Linked DNA regions of Saccharomyces cerevisiae S288C. The gene in region 1 interacts genetically with each later gene. Each region holds a gene or a part of one and is shown in the gene's direction. Other genes may lie near its edges.

Evidence for each region.
Region 2: mutations in YLR156C-A (region 1) and AGA1 together harm fitness more than expected from each alone (negative genetic interaction), as found in Saccharomyces cerevisiae (one large-scale study listed by BioGRID).
Region 3: mutations in YLR156C-A (region 1) and YPQ2 together harm fitness less than expected from each alone (positive genetic interaction), as found in Saccharomyces cerevisiae (one large-scale study listed by BioGRID).
Region 4: mutations in YLR156C-A (region 1) and SAP1 together harm fitness more than expected from each alone (negative genetic interaction), as found in Saccharomyces cerevisiae (one large-scale study listed by BioGRID).

What each region holds. Positions count from the first base shown.
Region 1 is NC_001144.5:469,443-476,204, reverse strand, and holds YLR156C-A (uncharacterized protein), read left to right. Parts: upstream 1-3,594; coding exon 3,595-3,726; downstream 3,727-6,762. Other genes in the region: YLR157W-D (uncharacterized protein), read right to left, coding at 229-441; asparaginase ASP3-2, read left to right, coding at 2,148-3,236; YLR156W (uncharacterized protein), read right to left, coding at 3,748-4,092; asparaginase ASP3-1, read left to right, coding at 5,800-6,762.
Region 2 is NC_001146.8:701,724-706,519, forward strand, and holds AGA1 (Aga1p), read left to right. Parts: upstream 1-1,975; coding exon 1,976-4,153; downstream 4,154-4,796. Other genes in the region: diphosphomevalonate decarboxylase MVD1, read left to right, coding at 172-1,362; PET494 (Pet494p), read left to right, coding at 4,416-4,796. UniProt on the Saccharomyces cerevisiae protein: Cell wall anchoring subunit of the a-agglutinin heterodimer.
Region 3 is NC_001136.10:1,177,705-1,185,575, forward strand, and holds YPQ2 (Ypq2p), read left to right. Parts: upstream 1-4,096; coding exon 4,097-5,050; downstream 5,051-7,871. Other genes in the region: ATP22 (Atp22p), read right to left, coding at 1-470; SBE2 (Sbe2p), read left to right, coding at 962-3,556; thioredoxin-disulfide reductase TRR1, read left to right, coding at 5,595-6,554; TRP4 (anthranilate phosphoribosyltransferase), read left to right, coding at 7,043-7,871. UniProt on the Saccharomyces cerevisiae protein: Amino acid transporter that moves arginine across the vacuolar membrane. Active during nitrogen starvation when it exports stored vacuolar arginine to the cytosol, for use as a nitrogen source.
Region 4 is NC_001137.3:240,954-250,354, reverse strand, and holds SAP1 (putative AAA family ATPase SAP1), read left to right. Parts: upstream 1-3,851; coding exon 3,852-6,545; downstream 6,546-9,401. Other genes in the region: CAJ1 (Caj1p), read left to right, coding at 2,198-3,373; SPO73 (Spo73p), read right to left, coding at 6,744-7,175; ACA1 (Aca1p), read left to right, coding at 8,854-9,401.

The sequences.
Region 1 (6,762 bases):
AAATTAGTGGAAGCTGAAACGCAAGGATTGATAATGTAATAGGATCAATGAATATAAACATATAAAACGGAATGAGGAATAATCGTAATATTAGTATGTAGAAATATAGATTCCATTTTGAGGATTCCTATATCCTCGAGGAGAACTTCTAGTATATTCTGTATACCTAATATTATAGCCTTTATCAACAATGGAATCCCAACAATTATCTCAACATTCACCCATTTCTCACAAAGGATAAATCTCTTGGTTTGCGGGCCGCATACAAGATATGATTGTAGTTTTTTCAATGGCTCTACTGTCCCACTGCTGTACAACAGAAAATGAGAGATCAGAGAAATAGTATTCCGGAAGCCAGTGGTGTTTACTTATTAGTTTTTTGACGCCACTGCGCGAGTTGCTGCCTAGCTGTTCCTTGGCCAACGCATATTGGAACTTCATTCGACTGATATGCTTACTCAGAGGTCCATTACTTCAAGAATTGTCTCACCTATCGGGCTTGGCGTTTGTACAAGAAGAAACTTTCATCACCTTTGTTTCGCCACCAAATGAAAAAAAAAACTTGCATGGCTTAGGTGGTTCTTTGTCAGAAATATCTTCTAAGGATCAAGAGTCTTACGTGATTCTAATCCCTTGGCAAGTCAGATCTCAAATATGCTCACTCGCAGATGAGTAGCAATGAATGCGACCAAGTGACTAGTGACTGGTGACGACATGAGCCAAGCTGGAACCAGCAGCTTTCACGTCGGCTTATAGCTCTCTATGGGGCAATCAACCACTCATAGTGACTGAAGATCTTTTTAATATAATTACATTGCTAAAAACGTCATACCGCCTTGTGAGCACGATAAACAGCATATGCATTGAGCCTTGTTATTCTTCGGAACTGGGGATAGTAAAATGCGACCCGCTTAGGATGATCAAGCTATCTTTGGGACGGAGTTTTGTCATGGGAGTGGTCATCCTACTGGTGATGCTTCAACATTTGATTTACTAAATTTTGAAATCGGCCGCAGAATAAAACTATTATGTCCAAACAATTGATGGTCGAACCAACGTTAAGGGTTTCAAGTATTGAATTGAACTTTTATGAGTTCTATAATTTCGTTGCGCAAATTCAACTAAACCACCAATATCCCCCCTACAACGCTACACTTTATACCGATAGAGGAATAACGCATAGAGCCTTCGTAGAATTCTTCAACTCGTACGTGATGGGGATTCTAAACCTATCGTCATGTCGCTGTACAAGGCTGCTGCCTGCTTTCAAATTCCCAATTTTACCATGTCCGTTTCGCTGAGCCGAATCGTCACACAAGGTAATTAGTTCTGGGTATCGCTTCAGTATAGCACTGGTTTTTTCCTTGTAAAACCACAGTCTAACAATTAAATGAAGCTTTTCGAAGAAATTAGACCATGTTAGACTGAAAGCAAAGACTCCGGCCCGTTCTGAGGTAAGTTCAATGAAATTGGACAGTTTCTTTTCAAGGTTAGGTTTTGTGTTCGAAAAAAATAGATTACCGCACCTCCTTTCCAAACCCCATGAGTTTCCATTAAGGAAGAGCAACGTCAATAATACCACCTTTTGCAGATGTGATTCAACTCAAGATGCTGTAATCTTTCCCTTCTGACCCTAGATCACCTCATGATATCCTTTTGAGGCAATTAAAGCTGCAGTGTAAACTGTTGAATATCTTTTTGAAACCAAAAAAAAGGACGTTCCACACTTGGCTGCTTTCTTGATAAGCGAGATCTTTACTTGGAGATCTCGCTTAGTCCTCCGAAGGTAAACCCCGTCTCTTATCTTTAAAAAAATGTATCAGACCCTTCAGCACGTGACAGACAGCAAACTACCAGTCGACGAGGATGCTTTTCCGAAAGTCATGACACAAGGGAAGGACTGTAAGATCGATATCGGCGCAGTCTTATCGGATGTTCCAAGTCCTTGTCTCTTTCATTATCTGCTTGCTATCGCAAAAAAAAAAAAATCAATTTGTTTAATATCAACACATAATGTACAAGAACAAATCATGACATACAAAAGCCATATAAGATGAGTCTTCAAGCAGCACCAAGAGGCCTGAGGCAGAGCAAATGTTGGCTCGCTATTCTTTTGTAAGCAATCTGGTACTCACCAACCTCCAACTATGAGATCTTTAAATACCCTTTTACTTTCTCTCTTTGTCGCAATGTCCAGTGGTGCTCCACTACTAAAAATTCGTGAAGAGAAGAATTCTTCTTTGCCATCAATCAAAATTTTTGGTACCGGCGGTACTATCGCTTCCAAGGGTTCGACAAGTGCAACAACGGCGGGTTATAGCGTGGGATTAACCGTAAATGATTTAATAGAAGCCGTCCCATCTTTAGCTGAGAAGGCAAATCTGGACTATCTTCAAGTGTCTAACGTTGGTTCAAATTCTTTAAACTATACGCATCTGATCCCATTGTATCACGGTATCTCCGAGGCACTAGCCTCTGATGACTACGCTGGTGCGGTTGTCACTCATGGGACCGACACTATGGAGGAGACAGCTTTCTTCTTAGATTTGACCATAAATTCAGAGAAGCCAGTATGTATCGCAGGCGCTATGCGTCCAGCCACTGCCACGTCTGCTGATGGCCCAATGAATTTATATCAAGCAGTGTCTATTGCTGCTTCTGAGAAATCACTGGGTCGTGGCACGATGATCACTCTAAACGATCGTATTGCCTCTGGGTTTTGGACAACGAAAATGAATGCCAACTCTTTAGATACATTCAGAGCGGATGAACAGGGATATTTAGGTTACTTTTCAAATGATGACGTGGAGTTTTACTACCCACCAGTCAAGCCAAATGGATGGCAATTTTTTGACATTTCCAACCTCACAGACCCTTCGGAAATTCCAGAAGTCATTATTCTGTACTCCTATCAAGGCTTGAATCCTGAGCTAATAGTAAAGGCCGTCAAGGACCTGGGCGCAAAAGGTATCGTGTTGGCGGGTTCTGGAGCTGGTTCCTGGACTGCTACGGGTAGTATTGTAAACGAACAACTTTATGAAGAGTATGGTATACCAATTGTTCACAGCAGAAGAACAGCAGATGGTACAGTTCCTCCAGATGATGCCCCAGAGTACGCCATTGGATCTGGCTACCTAAACCCTCAAAAATCGCGTATTTTGCTACAATTATGTTTGTACTCCGGCTACGGCATGGATCAGATTAGGTCTGTTTTTTCTGGCGTCTACGGTGGTTAAAGCCTGATCAGTGACTTTTCATCACACTGTGTTTTTATATAGTTCTTAGTAGTAAATATACTCTATAATTTCTACATCCTTTTCATGATGTGCCAGTTAAGCTATTTTTAGCAAACAAAAAGATGAATTTGAGTATTGAGCACATCATTCACTGTTCAGCTGATACAAAACATATGATTTCTAATATTCACATAGGAAAAATCGCTCCAAACATCGAAGTATCATCGCTACTTTGGTCTTTTATCTGCTTCTCTTCTCTTCGCTCTTTTCACTGCTCGTGCCGCTGCAACGCTCCAACTCAGTTCTATCTCAGCTCCTTCCCCTTATCCCTTGAGCAGTGTCAAGGCGAGGCTGCGTGATGTATTCGTGCGCGAAAAAAAAAACAACTGCAGCACCTGAGTTTCGCGTATGGTCACCCACTACACTACTCGGTCAGGCTCTTACCAGCTTAACTACAGTTGATCGGACGGGAAACGGTGCTTTCTGGTAGATATGGCCGCAACCGAAATAGTTAGGTGTGGCAGCCGTACATATGGAAGCCGGGCGATGGCTCCGCCACGTGCAAAGTGCAGGAGCTTTGGAAAGAGCGTGCATATAGTGATGAAAACAGAGAGCACGGTTGCGAACGGAGGGTCTCACAATGTCTCAAAGGATAAATCTCTTGGTTTGCGGGCCGCATACAAGATATGATTGTAGTTTTTTCAATGGCTCTACTGTCCCACTGCTGTACAACAGAAAATGAGAGATCAGAGAAATAGTATTCCGGAAGCCAGTGGTGTTTACTTATTAGTTTTTTGACGCCACTGCGCGAGTTGCTGCCTAGCTGTTCCTTGGCCAACGCATATTGGAACTTCATTCGACTGATATGCTTACTCAGAGGTCCATTACTTCAAGAATTGTCTCACCTATCGGGATTGGCGTTTGTACAAGAAGAAACTTTCATCACCTTTGTTTCGCCACCAAATGAAAAAAAAAACTTGCATGGCTTAGGTGGTTCTTTGTCAGAAATATCTTCTAAGGATCAAGAGTCTTACGTGATTCTAATCCCTTGGCAAGTCAGATCTCAAATATGCTCACTCGCAGATGAGTAGCAATGAATGCGACCAAGTGACTAGTGACTGGTGACGACATGAGCCAAGCTGGAACCAGCAGCTTTCACGTCGGCTTATAGCTCTCTATGGGGCAATCAACCACTCATAGTGACTGAAGATCTTTTTAATATAATTACATTGCTAAAAACGTCATACCGCCTTGTGAGCACGATAAACAGCATATGCATTGAGCCTTGTTATTCTTCGGAACTGGGGATAGTAAAATGCGACCCGCTTAGGATGATCAAGCTATCTTTGGGACGGAGTTTTGTCATGGGAGTGGTCATCCTACTGGTGATGCTTCAACATTTGATTTACTAAATTTTGAAATCGGCCGCAGAATAAAACTATTATGTCCAAACAATTGATGGTCGAACCAACGTTAAGGGTTTCAAGTATTGAATTGAACTTTTATGAGTTCTATAATTTCGTTGCGCAAATTCAACTAAACCACCAATATCCCCCCTACAACGCTACACTTTATACCGATAGAGGAATAACGCATAGAGCCTTCGTAGAATTCTTCAACTCGTACGTGATGGGGATTCTAAACCTATCGTCATGTCGCTGTACAAGGCTGCTGCCTGCTTTCAAATTCCCAATTTTACCATGTCCGTTTCGCTGAGCCGAATCGTCACACAAGGTAATTAGTTCTGGGTATCGCTTCAGTATAGCACTGGTTTTTTCCTTGTAAAACCACAGTCTAACAATTAAATGAAGCTTTTCGAAGAAATTAGACCATGTTAGACTGAAAGCAAAGACTCCGGCCCGTTCTGAGGTAAGTTCAATGAAATTGGACAGTTTCTTTTCAAGGTTAGGTTTTGTGTTCGAAAAAAATAGATTACCGCACCTCCTTTCCAAACCCCATGAGTTTCCATTAAGGAAGAGCAACGTCAATAATACCACCTTTTGCAGATGTGATTCAACTCAAGATGCTGTAATCTTTCCCTTCTGACCCTAGATCACCTCATGATATCCTTTTGAGGCAATTAAAGCTGCAGTGTAAACTGTTGAATATCTTTTTGAAACCAAAAAAAAGGACGTTCCACACTTGGCTGCTTTCTTGATAAGCGAGATCTTTACTTGGAGATCTCGCTTAGTCCTCCGAAGGGTAAACCCCGTCTCTTATCTTTAAAAAAATGTATCAGACCCTTCAGCACGTGACAGACAGCAAACTACCAGTCGACGAGGATGCTTTTCCGAAAGTCATGACACAAGGGAAGGACTGTAAGATCGATATCGGCGCAGTCTTATCGGATGTTCCAAGTCCTTGTCTCTTTCATTATCTGCTTGCTATCGCAAAAAAAAAAAAATCAATTTGTTTAATATCAACACATAATGTACAAGAACAAATCATGACATACAAAAGCCATATAAGATGAGTCTTCAAGCAGCACCAAGAGGCCTGAGGCAGAGCAAATGTTGGCTCGCTATTCTTTTGTAAGCAATCTGGTACTCACCAACCTCCAACTATGAGATCTTTAAATACCCTTTTACTTTCTCTCTTTGTCGCAATGTCCAGTGGTGCTCCACTACTAAAAATTCGTGAAGAGAAGAATTCTTCTTTGCCATCAATCAAAATTTTTGGTACCGGCGGTACTATCGCTTCCAAGGGTTCGACAAGTGCAACAACGGCGGGTTATAGCGTGGGATTAACCGTAAATGATTTAATAGAAGCCGTCCCATCTTTAGCTGAGAAGGCAAATCTGGACTATCTTCAAGTGTCTAACGTTGGTTCAAATTCTTTAAACTATACGCATCTGATCCCATTGTATCACGGTATCTCCGAGGCACTAGCCTCTGATGACTACGCTGGTGCGGTTGTCACTCATGGGACCGACACTATGGAGGAGACAGCTTTCTTCTTAGATTTGACCATAAATTCAGAGAAGCCAGTATGTATCGCAGGCGCTATGCGTCCAGCCACTGCCACGTCTGCTGATGGCCCAATGAATTTATATCAAGCAGTGTCTATTGCTGCTTCTGAGAAATCACTGGGTCGTGGCACGATGATCACTCTAAACGATCGTATTGCCTCTGGGTTTTGGACAACGAAAATGAATGCCAACTCTTTAGATACATTCAGAGCGGATGAACAGGGATATTTAGGTTACTTTTCAAATGATGACGTGGAGTTTTACTACCCACCAGTCAAGCCAAATGGATGGCAATTTTTTGACATTTCCAACCTCACAGACCCTTCGGAAATTCCAGAAGTCATTATTCTGTACTCCTATCAAGGCTTGAATCCTGAGCTAATAGTAAAGGCCGTCAAGGACCTGGGCGCAAAAGGTATCGTGTTGGCGGGTTCTGGAGCTGGTTCCTGGACTGCTACGGGTAGTATTGTAAACGAACAACTTTATGAAGAGTATGGTATACCAATTGTTCACAGCAGAAGAACAGCAGATGGTACAGTTCCTCCAGATGATGCCCCA
Region 2 (4,796 bases), on another chromosome or scaffold:
GATAACCTTACTTTTAATTTTGGCCTGATTCTTGTGAAACTTTTCCACGATGCCGAAATCGCCGAAATGGCTCGTTTAGCCTTTTCTCGAAGATTGATATATAAAGAGCATCCATCGTGCTGGTAATGGTGATGCAAGATTGAAAATTCCCAGACAGTGAGCACCAGCACAATGACCGTTTACACAGCATCCGTTACCGCACCCGTCAACATCGCAACCCTTAAGTATTGGGGGAAAAGGGACACGAAGTTGAATCTGCCCACCAATTCGTCCATATCAGTGACTTTATCGCAAGATGACCTCAGAACGTTGACCTCTGCGGCTACTGCACCTGAGTTTGAACGCGACACTTTGTGGTTAAATGGAGAACCACACAGCATCGACAATGAAAGAACTCAAAATTGTCTGCGCGACCTACGCCAATTAAGAAAGGAAATGGAATCGAAGGACGCCTCATTGCCCACATTATCTCAATGGAAACTCCACATTGTCTCCGAAAATAACTTTCCTACAGCAGCTGGTTTAGCTTCCTCCGCTGCTGGCTTTGCTGCATTGGTCTCTGCAATTGCTAAGTTATACCAATTACCACAGTCAACTTCAGAAATATCTAGAATAGCAAGAAAGGGGTCTGGTTCAGCTTGTAGATCGTTGTTTGGCGGATACGTGGCCTGGGAAATGGGAAAAGCTGAAGATGGTCATGATTCCATGGCAGTACAAATCGCAGACAGCTCTGACTGGCCTCAGATGAAAGCTTGTGTCCTAGTTGTCAGCGATATTAAAAAGGATGTGAGTTCCACTCAGGGTATGCAATTGACCGTGGCAACCTCCGAACTATTTAAAGAAAGAATTGAACATGTCGTACCAAAGAGATTTGAAGTCATGCGTAAAGCCATTGTTGAAAAAGATTTCGCCACCTTTGCAAAGGAAACAATGATGGATTCCAACTCTTTCCATGCCACATGTTTGGACTCTTTCCCTCCAATATTCTACATGAATGACACTTCCAAGCGTATCATCAGTTGGTGCCACACCATTAATCAGTTTTACGGAGAAACAATCGTTGCATACACGTTTGATGCAGGTCCAAATGCTGTGTTGTACTACTTAGCTGAAAATGAGTCGAAACTCTTTGCATTTATCTATAAATTGTTTGGCTCTGTTCCTGGATGGGACAAGAAATTTACTACTGAGCAGCTTGAGGCTTTCAACCATCAATTTGAATCATCTAACTTTACTGCACGTGAATTGGATCTTGAGTTGCAAAAGGATGTTGCCAGAGTGATTTTAACTCAAGTCGGTTCAGGCCCACAAGAAACAAACGAATCTTTGATTGACGCAAAGACTGGTCTACCAAAGGAATAAGATCAATTCGATATGTAACATTTTTCTTTTCTTTTCTTTTCCTTTTTTTACAATAGCTAATTTACGTTTCCCTACGGTATTGGTCGGAACGACCAAGCTTCAATTTATAAATATCTTAATTTTAACAGCAGTTACCACTTGAATGAGAAACTTTTTGATGCCTACTCTTTTGCTTTTTCATATCATGACCTCCCTACATGCTTCGGAATTTCCTTATTCGTAGCTGTCTAACAGCACCACTTAGCACAAGTACGTCCACCCGTTTCATACTTAAAGATCTCAGCAGCCACCCAATCTACATTTAGGGTACCTGTCACATATCTTCTCAAATTTTAGGTTAGCTTTCAATTGTAAAGTCTCTTTTTGGATATTGCACGTTTCAAGTCAAAACGCGGCTGTAACATAATTTTCTGAAACAATATTAAAACATAGTAATGACTTAAAACAAGCGACTATCGCAAATAAGCAGTTCCCAGCAAGCAATTAAAACGTATATAAGCGCAGAATAATGATCTATCATCAATAATTATCGTGAACTTTTCCAGTATTTACGTTCATCTTTGAAAAACGGCGAGCATTAACAATAAAAGCTAAAAAAACCAAAAAATTTCAGATGACATTATCTTTCGCTCATTTTACCTACCTGTTCACAATATTGTTGGGATTAACTAATATTGCCTTGGCATCTGATCCAGAAACGATTCTAGTGACGATAACCAAGACAAACGATGCAAATGGGGTTGTTACAACTACAGTTTCACCCGCGCTAGTCTCCACATCCACTATCGTTCAAGCTGGCACTACGACATTGTATACGACTTGGTGTCCATTGACGGTATCCACTTCATCTGCTGCCGAAATAAGTCCTTCAATATCGTACGCTACTACCCTATCCAGATTTAGTACTTTGACATTATCTACAGAAGTCTGCTCCCATGAGGCATGTCCTTCGTCATCGACGTTGCCAACCACCACCTTATCTGTGACTTCCAAGTTCACTTCATATATTTGCCCTACTTGTCACACAACCGCTATCAGCTCATTATCCGAAGTAGGAACTACAACCGTGGTATCATCCAGCGCCATTGAACCATCAAGTGCCTCTATAATCTCACCTGTCACCTCTACACTTTCGAGTACAACATCGTCCAATCCAACTACTACCTCCCTAAGTTCGACATCTACATCTCCAAGCTCTACATCTACATCTCCAAGCTCTACATCTACCTCATCAAGTTCGACATCTACCTCATCAAGTTCGACATCTACCTCATCAAGTTCGACATCTACATCTCCAAGTTCGACATCCACATCTTCAAGTTTGACATCCACATCTTCAAGTTCTACATCTACATCCCAAAGTTCTACATCTACCTCATCAAGTTCGACATCTACATCTCCAAGCTCTACATCTACCTCATCAAGTTCAACATCTACATCTCCAAGTTCTAAATCTACTTCTGCAAGCTCCACTTCCACTTCTTCATATTCAACATCTACATCCCCAAGTTTGACTTCTTCATCTCCAACTTTGGCTTCCACTTCTCCAAGTTCAACATCTATTAGCTCTACTTTTACTGATTCAACTTCATCCCTTGGCTCCTCTATAGCATCTTCATCAACGTCTGTGTCATTATACAGCCCATCCACACCTGTTTACTCCGTCCCTTCGACTTCGTCAAATGTTGCAACTCCTTCTATGACTTCTTCAACTGTTGAAACAACTGTTAGTTCACAAAGTTCGTCTGAATATATCACCAAATCCTCAATTTCTACTACTATCCCATCATTTTCCATGTCTACATATTTCACCACTGTTAGTGGAGTCACTACAATGTATACGACATGGTGTCCTTATAGCTCTGAATCTGAGACTAGCACATTAACCAGTATGCATGAAACGGTTACAACAGACGCTACAGTCTGCACTCACGAGTCTTGCATGCCCTCGCAGACAACAAGTTTGATTACATCTTCTATAAAAATGTCCACTAAAAACGTCGCAACTTCTGTAAGCACCTCAACGGTTGAATCCTCATATGCATGCTCCACATGTGCTGAAACGTCACACTCGTATTCTTCCGTGCAAACAGCTTCATCAAGTTCTGTAACACAGCAGACCACATCCACAAAGAGTTGGGTAAGTTCAATGACAACTTCGGATGAAGATTTCAATAAGCACGCTACCGGTAAGTATCATGTAACATCTTCAGGTACCTCAACCATTTCGACTAGTGTAAGTGAAGCCACGAGTACATCAAGCATTGACTCAGAATCTCAAGAACAATCATCACACTTATTATCGACATCGGTCCTTTCATCCTCCTCCTTGTCTGCTACATTATCCTCTGACAGTACTATTTTGCTATTCAGTTCTGTATCATCACTAAGTGTCGAACAGTCACCAGTTACCACACTTCAAATTTCTTCAACATCAGAGATTTTACAACCCACTTCTTCCACAGCTATTGCTACAATATCTGCCTCTACATCATCACTTTCCGCAACATCTATCTCTACACCATCTACCTCTGTGGAATCGACTATTGAATCTTCATCATTGACTCCGACGGTATCTTCTATTTTCCTCTCATCATCATCTGCTCCCTCTTCTCTACAAACATCTGTTACCACTACAGAAGTTTCCACTACTTCAATCTCCATACAATACCAAACTTCATCAATGGTAACAATTAGCCAATATATGGGCAGTGGATCGCAAACGCGTTTGCCATTAGGAAAGTTGGTCTTCGCCATCATGGCAGTTGCTTGCAATGTAATTTTCAGTTAATATCAGAACAATTTAATTCATTTATATAAACATATACAATCAATCGAATAAAAATACAACAATGTAATGAAAACGCTCTCTATTGATATGTATTTGCTGACGCTTATAAATTTATTAAAGTTTTATTTTAAACCGTTCTAGTGACTTCACGCGGGGAGATACATCCAATAGTAAATTACAAAATAAGGAAAGTATAAAACAAACGGATAACAACAGTAGCTTGGAGACAGCAAAGGCACCCGAGCAGGCGTGGAAACACACGATGCATTTGAAAAAGGGGAAGAGGAGTATTAGCACAGTATGGCGACTTTTATGGAAGCGTTTTTATTCCGTAAACTCTAAGACGAATATGCATTTTTCTCGAAGTAGGAAGAAACCAGTGACAAACTTCACAAGGACAAACGGACTTCTCCTGAGCTGTAATGGTGATACATTCCCATATCTGCGTACACTGTGGAGATACTTCAATGCGCCTGGTAATTTGATGTTTGTCACAACTAATATTGTCGCATTTATGGGCATTGTTACGTATAATACGCTGGTTACTATCAGCAGTGAAAGAGCATTCGAAGAGCAGATGATGGCGGCACAGGTGAGCCTGGCGAAACAGAGAGAAGAGCTCGAGACTACGGCCCTCAGCTTG
Region 3 (7,871 bases), on another chromosome or scaffold:
CATCTGTGGACCTCACCTGGTAGATAAAATCCAATTTTTCTTGCCACCTCTGGGTATAACTCGTGTTGATGCAAAATGATATCATATAAAAGTTTCTTCTTTTCATTTTCTGAGCAATTATTTATATGCAGGGCATTTCGTAGAGATTCAAAAAAAGAGGCGTATTCAGTTACTCCAAAAGTCTCACTTAATACAGTTTTCAATTGTCGGAGCTCGTATAAACGCTTCTGAACATTTTTCGAAGATCCGCTCTTCCTAGAACATGGCACCTGTCGTTCAAAATCGCCAAACTGCAAAGGTTCTGAACGATTTGATTTAATTTTCAATGGACAGTTTTTCGTAGATAAATGGCGCAGATTTGTAATAGGTAGAATTGTGTATGTCCCTGCGCTACCCATATGTTTAAACAGCGGTGAAGTGACCATTTGAGCCAAAGGCTGGGAATAGACACGGCATATACATTTTAACATGCCAATAAGAACATTAAAGTGAACGCTTGGAAGATTTGAAAGCCCATTCTTGCCAGTACGCCAATAAAGTGTGTCGCGCAGAATAGATCTTCATGTAATTCCTTTTTCCCTTTTATGCAATCTATAATGTTAATCAGCGTAGATCACTATATACGCTTTTTTTTTTTTTTTTCAGCTCCGATTAGAGAGCAAAAGAGATGTAACATCGATCCTGCTATAATTAGAATACAAGTGTTGATCTTTAATTGTACTGTTTCTGCGAAAGCTATCGAGCATTTGGCTGTATTCCACTGTCCATTGTATTTTTAACTCTCCTTTTTATCATTCTGAAACATAGAGCTGTTTTGACAAAATTCAGTTTTTTCTCAATTAGTGCTTTCATTCATACGTTCGTTACAAGCTTTGAATTTTAACTTTATTTTCGGGCTTCCACCTTTGCTTCATTATTTTACTTCAGCTCTTTAGCTTTCTGTGACATTCAATTTTATTGTATGACAGCACGTCGTTTGATTAATATAGTTCCTAATACGTCTAAGCTAGACCCTTTAAAGGAGGAGGACTCAACGCATCTGAAACAAAATCAACCTAAGAAGTTTTCCACAAAGGAGTTGATGCTTTCAGAATATACCGAACGCAAAAGTTGCAGCCTTCCGTTGTCTAAATCCCGATCAGGCAGTAGTGCATCCAGTAGCACTACAGGTTCGAACGGAAAGAATATTGGAACAAGACGCCCTAGCTCCAACCTAGATTTCAATTTCGCTAGCCAAGATGTTGTTAAAAATGTATTAGGTAATAATAATCCACACGTACCCACAGCGAAGTGCATTAGGCCAATATCAGATGATTCTATAGGTACATCGAGCACAGAGATATTTTCTTCATCGCACTCAAATACGACATCTGATTCTTTATGTACATCAGATATAAGCTCAGAAGAGGGTGAAATAGCAAACAGTAAGATGGAGGATAACTGCTTCTTCAAAAGTATGAGAGAAGCTGACCATAGAAGCAATATTACGCCCTTAAAGAAAAGCCGACCGGGATCAATACTACAGAAAACACGTACAGCAAGTAGCGCTGATAAAACAATCTGCTCAATGAGTACCATAACTACATGCATTCCATCTCGTCAAAATTCGGTGTCAACTCCTAAACTCTCCAGGACAGTAGGGCTGCCTGGATCGAGCAATACAACCAACAGTATAGCCGCATCACAAACTTCATTCATAAGCGAGAATGACTCTCCTCTTAAACATCATTGCATGAGTACCGCAACTATCCAAGAACCAAAACTCATGCCGATCACAAAAACGCCGTATGTGCATTCCAATAGTACTTCTGTAATATTACCATATAAAACAACCCAACTTACTCCTTCTCAACGTTACCGTTTAAGGAAAGAGCAAAATGACCAATCTTTGCGTAAAGCCATAAAAATGAAAGAAAAATTTTATGAAGATCAAGACGTTAACTTGGAACTTCAAGAGGGCGATGTCGACGGCTCGTTAATTTGGAACATTCCAATGGCATCTTTATCGACCAGTTCTTTTTTAACATTATCTAAGTTTAATAGAAAAGAAATGAGTTTAGATTCAGCGCGGGGGGATGAAGAGATATTAATACAGGAGAACAATTGCGAAGGCAAACAACACTCATCTTCGGCTCTCTGTGTGGACAAAACTTTCCATCAGGTTCATAGTACTAGAAAACATACATCAAATTCAAGTAACACTTTAAAAGAATCATGTCTGGACTATAAGGAGCTTCCGCCAACATGCATTCCTGGTATATCTCCTGTGTCTGATTCACAGTACATCCAGGATACAATGAAAAATCTCTCCCAAATATACCTGCATAGTTCCGAAAAAATCTCCAAAAGTATTCTTTCTGGTCGTTCAAGATCTGTACAGAGTTTACCACTGGAATTTAAAGAAGCCAGTAGTCAGGGAATGGAAGACCTAATGCTAGTTTCAGAGGACAAACTAAAGGCCGTAAGTCATTTCCGTCCGAGTTGGCTCCCGCCCAAGGATTTCAAAGAGAGGAAATTGCAAGATAAACAAATCTACAAAAATATCGACTTAGCATCAATGGAAGAGTTGCAAAAAAATAAAGAACGTGACGAAAAAGCCAAAAAGAATGAGCAGAATAAGGTCAAATTCCAGCATTTACTGGACCGAGGCATTACTCGTAACTCGTCATTAAGTGAATTAAAGAAAATTATTTGGGAAACACCTTTGATATCTAAAGTACGGCTTCAAATATATAGTCAACTTCTACAAAGTGACAATTGCTTGATAACAAAATGTTTTATTGAATCATTTGAGGAAGTAATGCAGCTACTCAACAAAATGGATTTTCCCAAAGATAAAGAATTTGAAATAAGACAGCTTATTGAACACGATGTACAGGAAAAGGTTTTTTATAAAAATGGAACAGATAAGCAAGTGGTTTCTGACTTGATGCTATTACTGCAACTGAAATCTATATCTCAACAAGGTTTGGTTACTGGTGATGAGATGCTATTCTACCATTTTTTAACTGATCAATCTTTTGGGACTTTGAAGGAAACATGGGAAATGGTCAACTTGATACAGATGACGTGCTTCAGTGAAATTTGCAAGGAAAAATACGATTCAAGAATATTAAATCCCAGAGGAATTGTTGCCCATCTTTTACGAAAAGATGAGTTCAAAAATGAATTCAATGGCGGATGTTTGAATAGCAATACATGGTGGAACATATTGCAAAGAATGGACCATAAACTTTTTATGTGGGTAATGGATGTAATTATCGTTCATAATGGCCAAAACTTTGCAAACTACCCCGTAAAAATGGAAATATTCAAAGACAAAGTATGGGAATACTATAGATCTAAGAAGGTTATTGTAAATTATAAGATTTTGGTTTCACTAACAGTTAACGTATTGTTAAACTACCACTTCGGATATGATAATCTGAAACATTTATCAGATTTGGATGATAAGCATTTTTGTATTCCACTGTATACGGAGGATAGTATCGAAGAGGAAAACCTCAATAATATTTTCACAAAGTGGTGGTTGCACTACTACCGAAAATTACGTTAGCGTGTATGTGGCACGTACTAAAAGTTTGGTGACCAGACTATCTCTTCTTAAGTTCATTTTCACTCTGAAACTTATAAATGCATACATACAGAAATTACTTTCGATTAATATAATAATATATTTTTAATAAACAATGAACTAATGCCCTTATTGTGTTTTGTTATTAACCTTTTCATCACCATTTTTTTTTGCTAGCTTCTACGGCATTCACTTACGTGCTGCAAAATTTCGCAGCATGGAAGAAATTGTTCGCGAAGAAAAAAGATTTCGCTCAGTGATTTGTAGTGACAATAGGTACCAGTGTTATCACTAAGTATATCTTTTAGTATATCTCTTCGCTTGAGGAGGGATCAAAAAAAAACAAACGTAAACGTGCACATAAACGTCAAGTACTTTTTGCAGGCATTAATATTCGTCTCCAACAAAGACAAATAAAGAAGCAATCTTTTCATTACCTTAAGCCAGTATCTATTGATATCAATCGATAAGGTTCGTTGTTATCGGTGCTAAAAATTATAAAGTGAAAATAAGAATCTTTTCATGTCGTGCTCAAACGGCATCTGGCCTACTGTATCTAATTTGTGCGGATCATTATCCTTCTTCACCTCTGTTATTTCATTGTTTCCACAAATAATTGAGACTTATCGAGATAAATCTGTCGATGGGCTATCGCCATATTTTTTGCTGGCTTGGTTATGTGGGGATATTACCTCGCTGATAGGGGCAAAGCTAACAGGGCAATTGTTATTTCAGATACTTTTAGCAATTTATTTTCTATTGAATGATTCTTTTGTATGTGGTCAATATTATTACTATGGCGTGCTGCATGAAAATAAATTGGCGACTGTCGGCCATGAGCCTAAACCTCTTCTTCCCGAACTGGTTGAAAATGGTGAGCTTTTGAGGGAGGAAGAGGACATGATACAAGGTGGTAGCAGTGCAGAAAGCCCTAGAAGCAGTAGAAGAAGGTCTGCCATTACAGCAGCCTTGGCTATAGCTCATACTATAAGTACAGCTAGCGCATATCCGCTAAATGTAGGCTCCACCCAATCACAAGTGGGGCCTCCCGGAGATGGTAAAAACAGCCAGCTGGGTACAATTTTATCTTGGATTGGCGCTTCCTTCTACGTAGGCGCACGTATCCCACAACTAATCAAGAATTACAATAGAAAGTCTACAGACGGCTTATCTCCCTTCCTATTTGCTACTACACTACTCTGCAATATCACGTATAATTTGAGCATCTTCACAAGCTGTAGATTTTTAGATAATCAGAACAAGAGGGAATTCATCGTGAATGAGTTGCCCTTTATATTTGGAAGTGCTGGAACAATTGCGTTTGATTTGATATACTTCTACCAATACTATATCCTTTATGCAACTGATATGCAACTACGTGAACTGGAAAGAGAACTATACAGTCCTGAAGAAGACAGTGCAGCGCAACTAGTGACAGAACGTACATCACTGTTGTCTGGTGAAACGCAAACATAGTTTTCCCTACGGAGTACTACCATTTATATTTAAACAATGCACTCTGCTCTTGGGATAGTCCTTGCGAGACCCTTTTTTCCCAATAGGAATACTACGTTCGTACTCTGTGTAAAAGTACCCAACTATAGTTAGCGCCAGTTTTACGTAAAACCGTCTATGTCTTGTTTGCATTCGCAACAGCTACAAACACATATAGTTTGTCACACTAATATTAATAATGAAAGTTATTATGTATTCACTGTGAACGCTTCAGTATACAGTACGGCAGTAAGTGTTTCATTCTGTTCTGGATTAATAATCTTTCACTTTGCCTAGCCATTTGGGGGCGGGTTTTGGCTGGGTTAGCTTCTCCTTAGTCATGGAGAAAAAAAATCGCCCGCAAGTATCTCGAAAAAGGAAAAAATGCCCACGCGTATAAGAGTGGACCCAACTGCTCGAGGTTTCAAGAGCTTGTAGATTAATTTCTGTAGTTCAGTTATACTTGCCTACAAGTGCTATACAGCAAATAGCGAACAGTACGAAAGTAAACATCATATTATCAATAATGGTTCACAACAAAGTTACTATCATTGGTTCAGGTCCAGCTGCACACACCGCCGCCATCTATTTGGCCAGGGCAGAAATCAAGCCAATCCTATATGAAGGTATGATGGCGAACGGTATTGCTGCCGGTGGCCAGCTAACCACCACTACAGAAATCGAAAACTTCCCAGGTTTCCCAGATGGTCTAACAGGTAGCGAACTGATGGACAGAATGAGAGAACAATCCACGAAGTTTGGCACTGAAATTATCACGGAAACAGTTTCCAAAGTTGATCTGTCTTCCAAACCATTCAAGCTATGGACCGAATTTAACGAAGACGCAGAACCTGTGACGACTGACGCTATAATCTTGGCCACAGGCGCTTCTGCTAAGAGAATGCATTTGCCGGGCGAGGAAACCTACTGGCAAAAAGGTATTTCTGCCTGTGCCGTGTGTGATGGTGCCGTCCCCATTTTCAGAAACAAGCCATTGGCCGTCATTGGTGGTGGTGACTCTGCATGTGAAGAAGCTCAGTTCTTGACCAAGTACGGCTCAAAAGTGTTTATGCTTGTCAGAAAAGACCATTTGCGTGCTTCTACCATTATGCAAAAGCGTGCTGAGAAGAACGAAAAAATTGAAATCCTTTACAACACTGTTGCGCTAGAAGCTAAGGGGGATGGTAAATTATTGAATGCCTTGAGGATTAAGAACACTAAAAAGAATGAAGAAACCGATTTGCCAGTCAGCGGTTTATTTTATGCAATTGGCCACACTCCAGCAACAAAGATTGTCGCTGGCCAAGTCGACACTGATGAAGCGGGCTACATTAAAACTGTCCCAGGCAGCTCATTAACCTCCGTTCCAGGATTTTTCGCTGCTGGTGATGTTCAGGATTCTAAATACAGACAAGCTATTACTTCTGCTGGCTCTGGTTGTATGGCCGCTTTGGATGCTGAGAAATACTTAACTTCCCTAGAATAGATGAATTTTCCATTATAAAATAGATACACTCAAATTTTTGTATACTTATCCAACAAATCGTTACTTTCTCCTTTTCTTTAATAAAAAGCAAACCATGAATTTTATTTCTTTTCCCCATTATTAGAGAAAGCCAATACATAATCTACATATATTGCGTGTCTGAATTAAACTTTTTAGACACATGACATAGGCCATCGGCTTACTTTGTAACGCGTGGTTGCCTATACACCGACTATTAAGTTATGACTAATATTATTGCTGCGCTTCCCCACCTGCATTTTTCTTGTCGTCTTTGCCAAAAGGAAAAAAAAACCTACGCAGATTGACTCTCTAAAAAATGATTCATGACCAGACAATTCAGTAAACATAAACTCTGTTGCATTCATTCTTCTGGAAAACTTTATAATAAAGCATCTGATATTACAGCTACTGACAACTAAGTGAATTTAAACTGCAATAATCACAAGAAAACTTAGTATTCCCTTATCATGTCCGAGGCGACTTTGCTATCTTACACCAAGAAATTATTGGCTTCTCCGCCGCAATTGAGTAGCACAGACCTACACGATGCGTTGCTGGTTATATTAAGTCTTTTGCAAAAATGTGATACAAATAGCGATGAGAGTCTTTCCATCTATACCAAAGTTTCGAGTTTTCTCACGGCCTTGAGAGTTACTAAACTTGATCACAAGGCTGAATACATTGCGGAAGCTGCAAAGGCTGTGCTCAGACATTCCGACCTTGTTGATCTACCTTTACCCAAGAAGGACGAATTACACCCGGAAGATGGACCAGTAATCTTAGATATTGTAGGTACTGGTGGTGACGGACAGAATACTTTTAATGTTTCCACGTCTGCTGCTATCGTTGCCTCCGGAATTCAGGGCCTAAAAATTTGTAAGCACGGTGGTAAAGCTTCTACATCCAATAGTGGAGCTGGTGACCTAATTGGAACTTTAGGCTGTGACATGTTCAAGGTTAATTCATCGACAGTGCCCAAACTTTGGCCTGATAATACGTTCATGTTTCTACTTGCTCCTTTTTTTCATCATGGAATGGGCCACGTTTCTAAGATACGCAAATTTCTTGGAATTCCGACTGTTTTCAACGTACTGGGACCACTTCTACATCCAGTTAGCCACGTAAACAAGAGAATATTGGGCGTTTACTCAAAGGAACTTGCGCCTGAATATGCCAAGGCAGCCGCTTTGGTATATCCAGGAAGCGAAACTTTTATAGTTTGGGGACATGTTGGGTTAGACGAAGTATCACCTATAGGCAAAACTACTGTCTGGCATATTGATCCGACATCGTCCG
Region 4 (9,401 bases), on another chromosome or scaffold:
TCCTACCCGGATTCGAACCGGGGTTGTCCGGATCAAAACCGAAAGTGATAACCACTACACTATAGGACCAGTACAACTGTAAATTGTTGTATCTCAAAATGAGATACGTCAGTATGACAATACGTCATCCTAAACGTTCATAAAACACAGATGAAACAACCTTATAACAAAACGAACAACATGAGATAAAACCCGGCCTTCCCTAGCTGAACTACCCAAACGTATAAATGCCTGAACAATTAGTTTAGATCCGAGATTCCGCGCTTCCACCACTTAATATGATTCATATTTTATATAATATATAAGATAAGTAACATTCCGTGAATTAATCTGATAAACTGTTTTGACAACTGGTTACTTCCCTAAGACTGTTTATATTAGGATTGTCAAGACACTCCGGTATTACTCGAGCCCGTAATACAACATAAATTTAGCCGTAAAAAAATCAACTAACCCTACAGTAAACTAAACGTAGTACTTTGACACCGATAAACAGGTGAAATATTGAAAAATCGGCAAAAAAATACATAATTATTAGCACTTTACTGTTATTGAACATTATGATATCAGGTATACAAGATATTAGGTATACAAGGTATACCTGAGAAACTGGTGAATAATTCGATAATTGTTGGCATTCCATTGTTGGGAGAGGCTATTATATCATGTATACAGAATATAGTAGAAGTTCTCCCCAAGAATATAGGAATCCTCAAAATGAAATCGATATCTCTACATAGTGATACAACGATTATTCCTCATTCCGTTTCATATGTTTCATTATCCTATTAGATTACATTTCAACTTTCACTAGATTTTAATACTTATAACACATTTTTAAGCAGCATGTGATAATATTCAGGTAACATTAATAATACTAAGCAGATGACATTGGAATTTCGTTACAACAATACCTCTAATATTGCTTCTGCCGAAATCAAATTATGATAAGAACCAATCATCATCCATCGTCTAATATTGTAAACTAGTATACCATCATATACGGTATAAGAAGATAATATAAATTGAGAGACAGCCATCAAAAATTGATGGAAACTGAAATGTAATCTAATAGGATAATGAAAGACAAAGTATAACGGGAAGGAAGATAAAGTAACACCATCGATTCTCTTTTGTGAATTCCTATAACGTCGGGAGAATTGCTTGTATACTATGTATACCTAATGTTATAGGATTCGGCAACAATGCAATCCGAACAATTATCAAATTACTCGCCAGTTTCTCAGGTATATATATTATCCTGAATGTTCTCTCCCAGGAGTATGGACCCTTAAAAGGCAAATCAATAATCTTAATATAATGTTTTAATTGTTTTTCTTTTTCTACGTTTCTGAAAATTACGATTAATCCATTCTATTAAATTGTCAACTCTGCGTTATTCCTTCACCAAATTTGAATACGAATCAGACAATTCTAAAATTACGTCATATTTTAACAACACATATCATAATATTCCACCAAAAGTCGCTTTTGATTAATAAATGATACAGTATTTTTTTCCCAACGAACGGTCAGTAACATATCAGTAGACTCTAAACACATTTTGTATCAGTACACCTTCTTACACTGCTAAAATGTTTTGGTCTTTTTTTGTTTACATTAATATTTTCATTTACGCAACAGAGAATTGCCGCTAAATATGAACCAGCTACAAACAACTGGGTATGTATTAAATATAAGAATGCGAATTGATACCCTTATTACATAATTTTTTGATGCTCATCAGTATCAACAAATAGAATATAGCAAACGGAATTACCGGACATTCTAACATTTCCTGGAGAATATCTGCTAGAGTCAAATCAAATGATGAAGACTTTCGGTTAGCGTTTCAGAAATAAACAATGATGATTAATCCAAAAAATTTCGTATTTGAGAAGTAAGACAGTGAATCGAAGTGGTTCTCCTATGGATTGTTTTAGACCCTGGGAACGTCACTGCGGTGTTTTCGCCCGTCATACCAAGATGGGGCGGAGAACGGAAAATTTGATGGCGAATGTACACTGCCAAGGACAAACAGGGACGATAAAGTGTTAAAGTGGTGATATAGTCGGATCCGCGGTTAGCCGTAACCATTGCTTTCCAATGGTTTACGCCTGTAAAAAGAGCAACTTAGATAATTGTCGGCTTCACGTAATTAAGACGTATTAACTCAAAGGAAAAGAAAAGAGGGAATATGGTAAAGGAGACGGAGTATTATGATATTTTGGGCATCAAGCCTGAGGCCACGCCCACTGAAATCAAAAAGGCCTATCGTAGAAAGGCTATGGAAACACATCCGGACAAGCATCCTGATGACCCAGATGCTCAAGCAAAGTTTCAAGCCGTAGGCGAGGCCTACCAAGTCTTAAGTGATCCAGGGCTTCGTTCCAAGTATGACCAGTTTGGTAAGGAGGATGCTGTTCCTCAGCAAGGATTTGAAGATGCTTCTGAATACTTTACAGCAATATTCGGTGGTGATGGCTTCAAAGATTGGATTGGAGAATTTTCTTTGTTCAAAGAGCTAAACGAGGCAACAGAAATGTTTGGAAAGGAAGATGAGGAGGGTACAGCAGCCACTGAAACCGAAAAAGCAGATGAGAGCACTGATGGTGGAATGGTTAAGCATGACACTAATAAAGCTGAATCTTTGAAAAAAGATAAATTATCGAAGGAGCAAAGAGAGAAGCTAATGGAAATGGAGAAAAAAAGACGGGAAGATATGATGAAACAAGTCGACGAGTTGGCAGAAAAACTGAACGAAAAAATCTCTAGGTACTTAATTGCTGTGAAGTCCAATAACTTGGAGGAATTTACGCGAAAACTAGATCAAGAAATCGAGGATTTGAAATTAGAAAGTTTTGGTCTAGAGTTATTGTATTTATTGGCCAGGGTTTACAAGACAAAAGCGAATAATTTTATCATGTCCAAGAAGACTTACGGAATTTCTAAAATATTCACTGGTACACGCGACAATGCTAGATCTGTTAAATCAGCATACAATTTATTGTCTACAGGCTTAGAAGCTCAAAAAGCCATGGAAAAAATGAGTGAAGTCAATACTGACGAACTAGACCAATATGAACGTGCCAAATTTGAGTCCACAATGGCTGGTAAGGCACTTGGTGTCATGTGGGCTATGTCGAAATTTGAACTGGAAAGAAAACTAAAAGACGTTTGCAATAAGATTCTAAACGATAAAAAGGTCCCTTCCAAGGAACGTATTGCAAAGGCAAAAGCAATGCTGTTTATTGCCCACAAGTTTGCCAGTGCTAGAAGGTCACCAGAAGAAGCTGAAGAAGCTAGAGTTTTTGAAGAGCTAATCCTAGGTGAGCAGGAGAAGGAACACAAAAAACATACTGTGGCCAGATAAGCTCAGCAAGTTAATAACGCCTCATGTATATTTTTCATATATAGCGCAATCAATTACAAAGCGAAGAAAAAAAACCCTATGTATTCTAGACATATCACAGGCATACGGGTTTTCTCACACCAACCTTTCAAGTCTTCAGCACTTATGTTTTAACTTATTTTCTATTATTCAGTATATATATGGAATTAACACTGGCAACCCAAGCATCTTAGCCGAGATTCGCGGAGAAAATTGAAATCAAGAATAATAAAAATTCTTGATTCACGGTCATAAGAGGCTGAAGCAACAGCAACCGGCTCCCCAAGAACTACAATACGCGTCCGATATACTTTCTTATCAAATATATTGGTAATAATAAAGGCTGCAGTTCTTTTTTTAATATAGTCTTTTTACATTTATTGCAGCTAACAAACGCAATTTTTCTTTCCCTTTCACTCGTGCGGTTTTACCAGGATTGATTATATCGCACTGTGACACTATGGATTCACAAAGAAGCCATCATATTTTAACGAGATTAACCAAGATACGGAGAAGACCTCAACAACCGTTAACCGACTTTACAGAACTTTACAGTAGAATTGCCAATGAGACAATATATTACTTGAACCTAGAAGAGAAAAAACGATATAAAGAAGCATTGCAAGGATGGAAAGCGCTTACCACTGATGTACTATTCAAACAGACATTGATAGAGCATAACTACCCAAATACTCAATCATACACGAAAGATGAAGTTAGTTTACAGAACGGTATTCGAGAATTGTACCACAAGAGCGTTATGCATTTGAAAAGAGTCAAAAAATTGGTCCGAGAAGAGCCTGCTCCCAGGAATGATATGCCGTCATCCAAAACATACACTAATCATAGCTCATCTTTCACAAGGTCTACTGAACCACCTCCTGTATTCCAAATGGTTCCCGGAAGAATGATGAAAACATTAAGAAATAGAAATGCATGCGGCTATAAAACCGCATACTCCAACCCCTCACTATCATCATATGGTAACAGCACATCGATAAAACGCGGAGAAGATGCGGAGAACATTAGAGTAAATTTTGTACCTTCTAAGCCTTTATCCAACAATGCAAGCAGACAGCACAAGAACCCTATTGAGCACAATGATCCTCCACTTAAGAAGGAAACTGAACTGTACTCAGATAAATATATCTCAGAGCCAATATTGATAGATTTGACTAATGACGAGGATGATCACGATGTCGGCATTTTAAAAGGACACAACGTTTTTGATGAAGAAGAAAGTGATGGTTTCGAGTTTGATGTGTCCGATTACTATGATAATTTCTCCGAAGTCGACGTAGAAGAAGAAGAAGAAGAAAAAGAGGAAAGACGACGTATAAAAACGTTAGAAGCAATTCAACAGCAAATGTCTGACTTGTCTGTTACTTCTTCTACGTCCAGTAATAAGAGTGTAAGTTCTTCAGAAAATGTTCCCGGATCATGCATACAGTCCCTGCCGACTACCGCCCCTGCTCTTCCTTCATTACCTCCACCTCCTTTATTAAATGTCGATAGAGCGTCCAGCACTGGCGCTCTAAAGCCACATAGTTTAGAAACTTCTACTACTATGGATTCATCAAAGATTAGGAATCCTCAAATATCAAAATTAATGAAGAATAATCACGTACCATACTTAAAGGGTACCAAATCAACGCCCACTCTTATCACTAAATCAACGCCAACATTTATTACAAGATCAAAAAGTAATACAAAACCAATCATCAAATCCAATGCATCGTCTCCGACCTCTTCTCTGACTGTTCCAAATTCAGTAATTCAAAAACCCAAAACGGCTGCAATGGCTGCTAAGAGAGTTCTGAACAGCAAAAAGGTTGCGAGTAACCCCGCATTAAACACTACGAAGAAGAGTCACCCCATTTTGAAATCCAAAACGGCGAAAGTCCCAAATTCCAGTTCGAAGAAAACGAGTAGCCATCCTTCCAGACCTGTAAGTAACTCAAAACCATACTCGCATGGTGCATCCCAGAATAAGAAGCCATCGAAAAATCAAACCACGTCTATGAGTAAAACGAATCGAAAAATACCAGCACAAAAAAAAATCGGTTCTCCAAAAATAGAAGATGTTGGAACAGAAGATGCCACTGAACATGCCACTTCCCTAAATGAGCAAAGAGAAGAGCCTGAAATAGACAAGAAAGTCCTGAGGGAGATTTTAGAAGATGAAATTATTGATAGTTTACAAGGTGTAGATAGGCAAGCTGCAAAGCAAATTTTTGCCGAAATCGTAGTGCACGGAGATGAAGTTCATTGGGATGATATTGCTGGTTTAGAAAGTGCAAAATATTCTTTGAAGGAAGCAGTTGTCTATCCGTTTTTGAGACCAGACTTATTCAGGGGGTTACGTGAACCAGTCAGGGGGATGCTCTTATTTGGACCACCAGGTACAGGTAAAACAATGCTAGCGAGAGCTGTAGCTACAGAGTCGCACTCCACCTTTTTCTCTATTAGTGCTTCCAGTTTGACATCTAAATACTTGGGTGAAAGTGAAAAATTAGTGAGGGCACTATTTGCAATTGCCAAAAAATTGTCACCTTCTATAATATTTGTTGATGAAATTGACTCTATCATGGGTAGTAGGAATAACGAAAATGAAAATGAGTCAAGCCGAAGGATAAAGAATGAATTTCTTGTTCAGTGGTCATCCTTGTCCAGCGCAGCGGCTGGTTCAAACAAAAGTAACACTAACAATTCTGACACCAATGGCGACGAAGATGATACAAGGGTACTGGTACTTGCCGCGACAAACTTACCATGGTCTATTGATGAGGCTGCAAGGAGAAGATTTGTGAGAAGACAATATATCCCATTACCAGAGGACCAGACCAGACACGTTCAATTTAAGAAGCTTCTTTCCCATCAAAAGCACACGTTAACCGAATCAGATTTTGATGAACTGGTAAAGATTACTGAGGGCTATTCAGGAAGTGATATAACGTCTTTAGCGAAGGATGCTGCCATGGGCCCACTACGAGATCTGGGTGATAAGTTATTAGAAACAGAGAGGGAGATGATAAGACCCATAGGCCTTGTGGATTTTAAGAACAGTTTAGTGTATATCAAGCCCTCTGTATCCCAGGACGGATTAGTGAAGTACGAAAAGTGGGCTTCACAATTCGGATCATCAGGTTCATGATGATGATAATAATAATAATAATATAATAATAATGGTAATAATAAATAATATTCTAGCCTAGCTGGACAAACTGTGTGCACATAAGCGGATCGATAAAATATGTTCTGCATAATGTCACCTTTTCTTTTTTTTTTTTTTTTTTTTCTTTTTTTTGACTACTTAGTTTGTTAAACAATTTAATATTAGCGTAAACTATTACTAATCTAATCCATGACTGGTCGTAGGTAGTCTTACCCAGACCCTTCTTCTCACCAAGCCATTTTTCGATTTCCACCTAGAGTTATTGAAATTCCAGCTATAACACCATCCTTGATCGTCAATATCGTACTTTTCCTTGTAATCCATCAGTACGAACCACTTTGTCATCTGTGAACTGCTACTGCCTGCAGTGCGTTCAGTACTCAGATCGATAGGATACAGTTCTATGAAGTTCGATATAGTATTTTTCGACAGGGCAATTAACGAGCCATTTTCAGTGTTTAGTCTTTGAAATTGTGGTGGGTCAACGTGAGGCAGTAAAATCTTGGGAGAAAATAGTGGGTAACCAAGTAAAGTTATGCCTCTCTCGTTTTCTATGAGTACGTCCTCCGGTAAAGCAGAGAAATCCTTCAAGAAATGGTTTTTGCCCATATATCTCTATGTATGATTGTATTTTAACGATGAAAGAAACCTTGTTACGATTGCAAAGTCTTCAATTTCCTGGAAAATAGTAGCCTTTTGGTCCCACGAGCCCAATTACGTAGACAAGATTCAATCGCTTTGTTTAAGCGGAGATAAACTTTCACAAAAAAGATAATGCACACAAGCCAGATTTTCATTAAACACTGTAGAAGGTGAAAATGTCGCGTGACAGTATATGTAAAGGCATATAATAAGGTTTCAAAAGCAGAAAGCGCAAAATATCAAGGTGCAAATTATTGCTTCCTTTGGTTCCATCAGCCTCTTTCTGTACGTAAAAAACAACATTTGCATGTACATGTTTTCTAAGTTAATCTGCGACCCAACCCGAATAGCTCTCTTTTACCCTTATTTTCAACCGTCAGCCCCTCTTATTGGTTGGAACGCCTCAATATCAGAGGTCAAAGTCAAGATATCTTGTTATCATCGGTGTTAGTGCCCAAATTGCCAATTGAACGCCTCTATCAAACTGAGGAACAAACCAGCGCTCGCAAAGGAAAACGCGTTTTCTTTTGGCTGCTTTTCTTTCGAAGTGCAGGAACGAGCAGTATTTGGTTGCCATTGTGCGGCACACCCAAGCACACAACGATGCGCTAGGCCAATTGATTCATTACCGTTGGTGTTTCAGGTATTCGTGCTCATCAACGTGACTATTCAGCAACTGAATTAAACTGCTCTTAATAACTTATGTGCACCGTAAGCCAGTCAGTGCTAATGAAGGAATCAATCAGGAGTCGTACAGTGCGTAGGCACACTTTTTTTCCGCAGCTGTTTACTAAGGGTTGTGTAACGTCTGGGTGTGGAGGGGCAATTACCGTAAAGATGCTCTCGAAATTACAATACTACGGTACTTTTCCCCACGGAAAGTTGTATCTCGGAGTTAAAAAGGGAGTGGCACGAGATTCATACAATGGCGTGCAGGCAAAATGATTACTACCGAAATCGAAGCAAGATGATGTTCAACCTTAGGACATCGAAGCTGTACCTCTGCATGAAGTAAGCAGAACAAGGCAAAGTTTAGTTTTTCAATGCTCGCTTCTGCTGGCACTGTTAGTTTGCAGCACATGAGTAGCAGTGGCGCGATTATATCCCCGTTGGGCCATCAAAGCGCAGCTTTTTGTGGTATCAGATAAAATAGTGGTACGCTAAGGCTCTGCGTGAGGAGTTAAGCAATATGCCAAGTATTACTTTGTAGACTTAATTTTAAAATGCTCTTAATTTTAATTTCTATTTTTCTATTTTCTATTTTCTATTTTCTATTTTACTTTTTTTCTTTTTCTGGCTTTTTTTAGTAGTGATATATAATTAGTTTTTCATCTGAAAGATATTTAGGGCACCATTTTCTTTTGTTCTTAGATGCAGATATTCTTTGGCGATTTACCCTGGTGGTACAGAAGATTATGTTACATAATTCATCAATTTTTTTTATGTTAGTTCATCTTCAAAATCTGCTTTAACTGGTTATTATTAAAATATAGTAAATCTAGATCTCTCAATCTGAGTGCTTACCGACTAAAAGCGCAGAAACTGTATTCTTATTATTTTTTTTTTTTCACGGCAGCTAATTGTACTGAGTTATATTAATAGTACTGGAATAACACCAGGTAACGACTAAGGAACCAAATAAAGTATGGACTATAAGCATAATTTTGCTACAAGTCCAGATTCTTTCCTAGATGGAAGGCAGAACCCACTCTTATATACAGATTTTCTATCTTCAAACAAGGAGCTTATATACAAACAACCATCGGGTCCTGGTCTTGTGGATTCTGCCTACAATTTTCATCACCAAAACAGTTTGCATGACCGTAGCGTGCAAGAAAACCTGGGTCCAATGTTTCAACCCTTTGGCGTCGACATCAGCCATCTTCCCATTACCAACCCTCCCATTTTTCAAAGTTCTTTACCAGCGTTTGATCAGCCCGTGTACAAAAGACGCATATCTATCTCCAATGGTCAGATTAGTCAATTAGGCGAAGACTTAGAAACGGTTGAAAATCTTTACAACTGTCAGCCTCCGATCCTATCGTCTAAGGCGCAACAGAATCCCAATCCTCAACAGGTGGCAAATCCAAGCGCAGCCATATACCCAAGCTTTAGCTCGAACGAATTGCAAAACGTGCCACAACCACACGAACAAGCTACAGTCATACCCGAAGCTGCACCTCAAACAGGTAG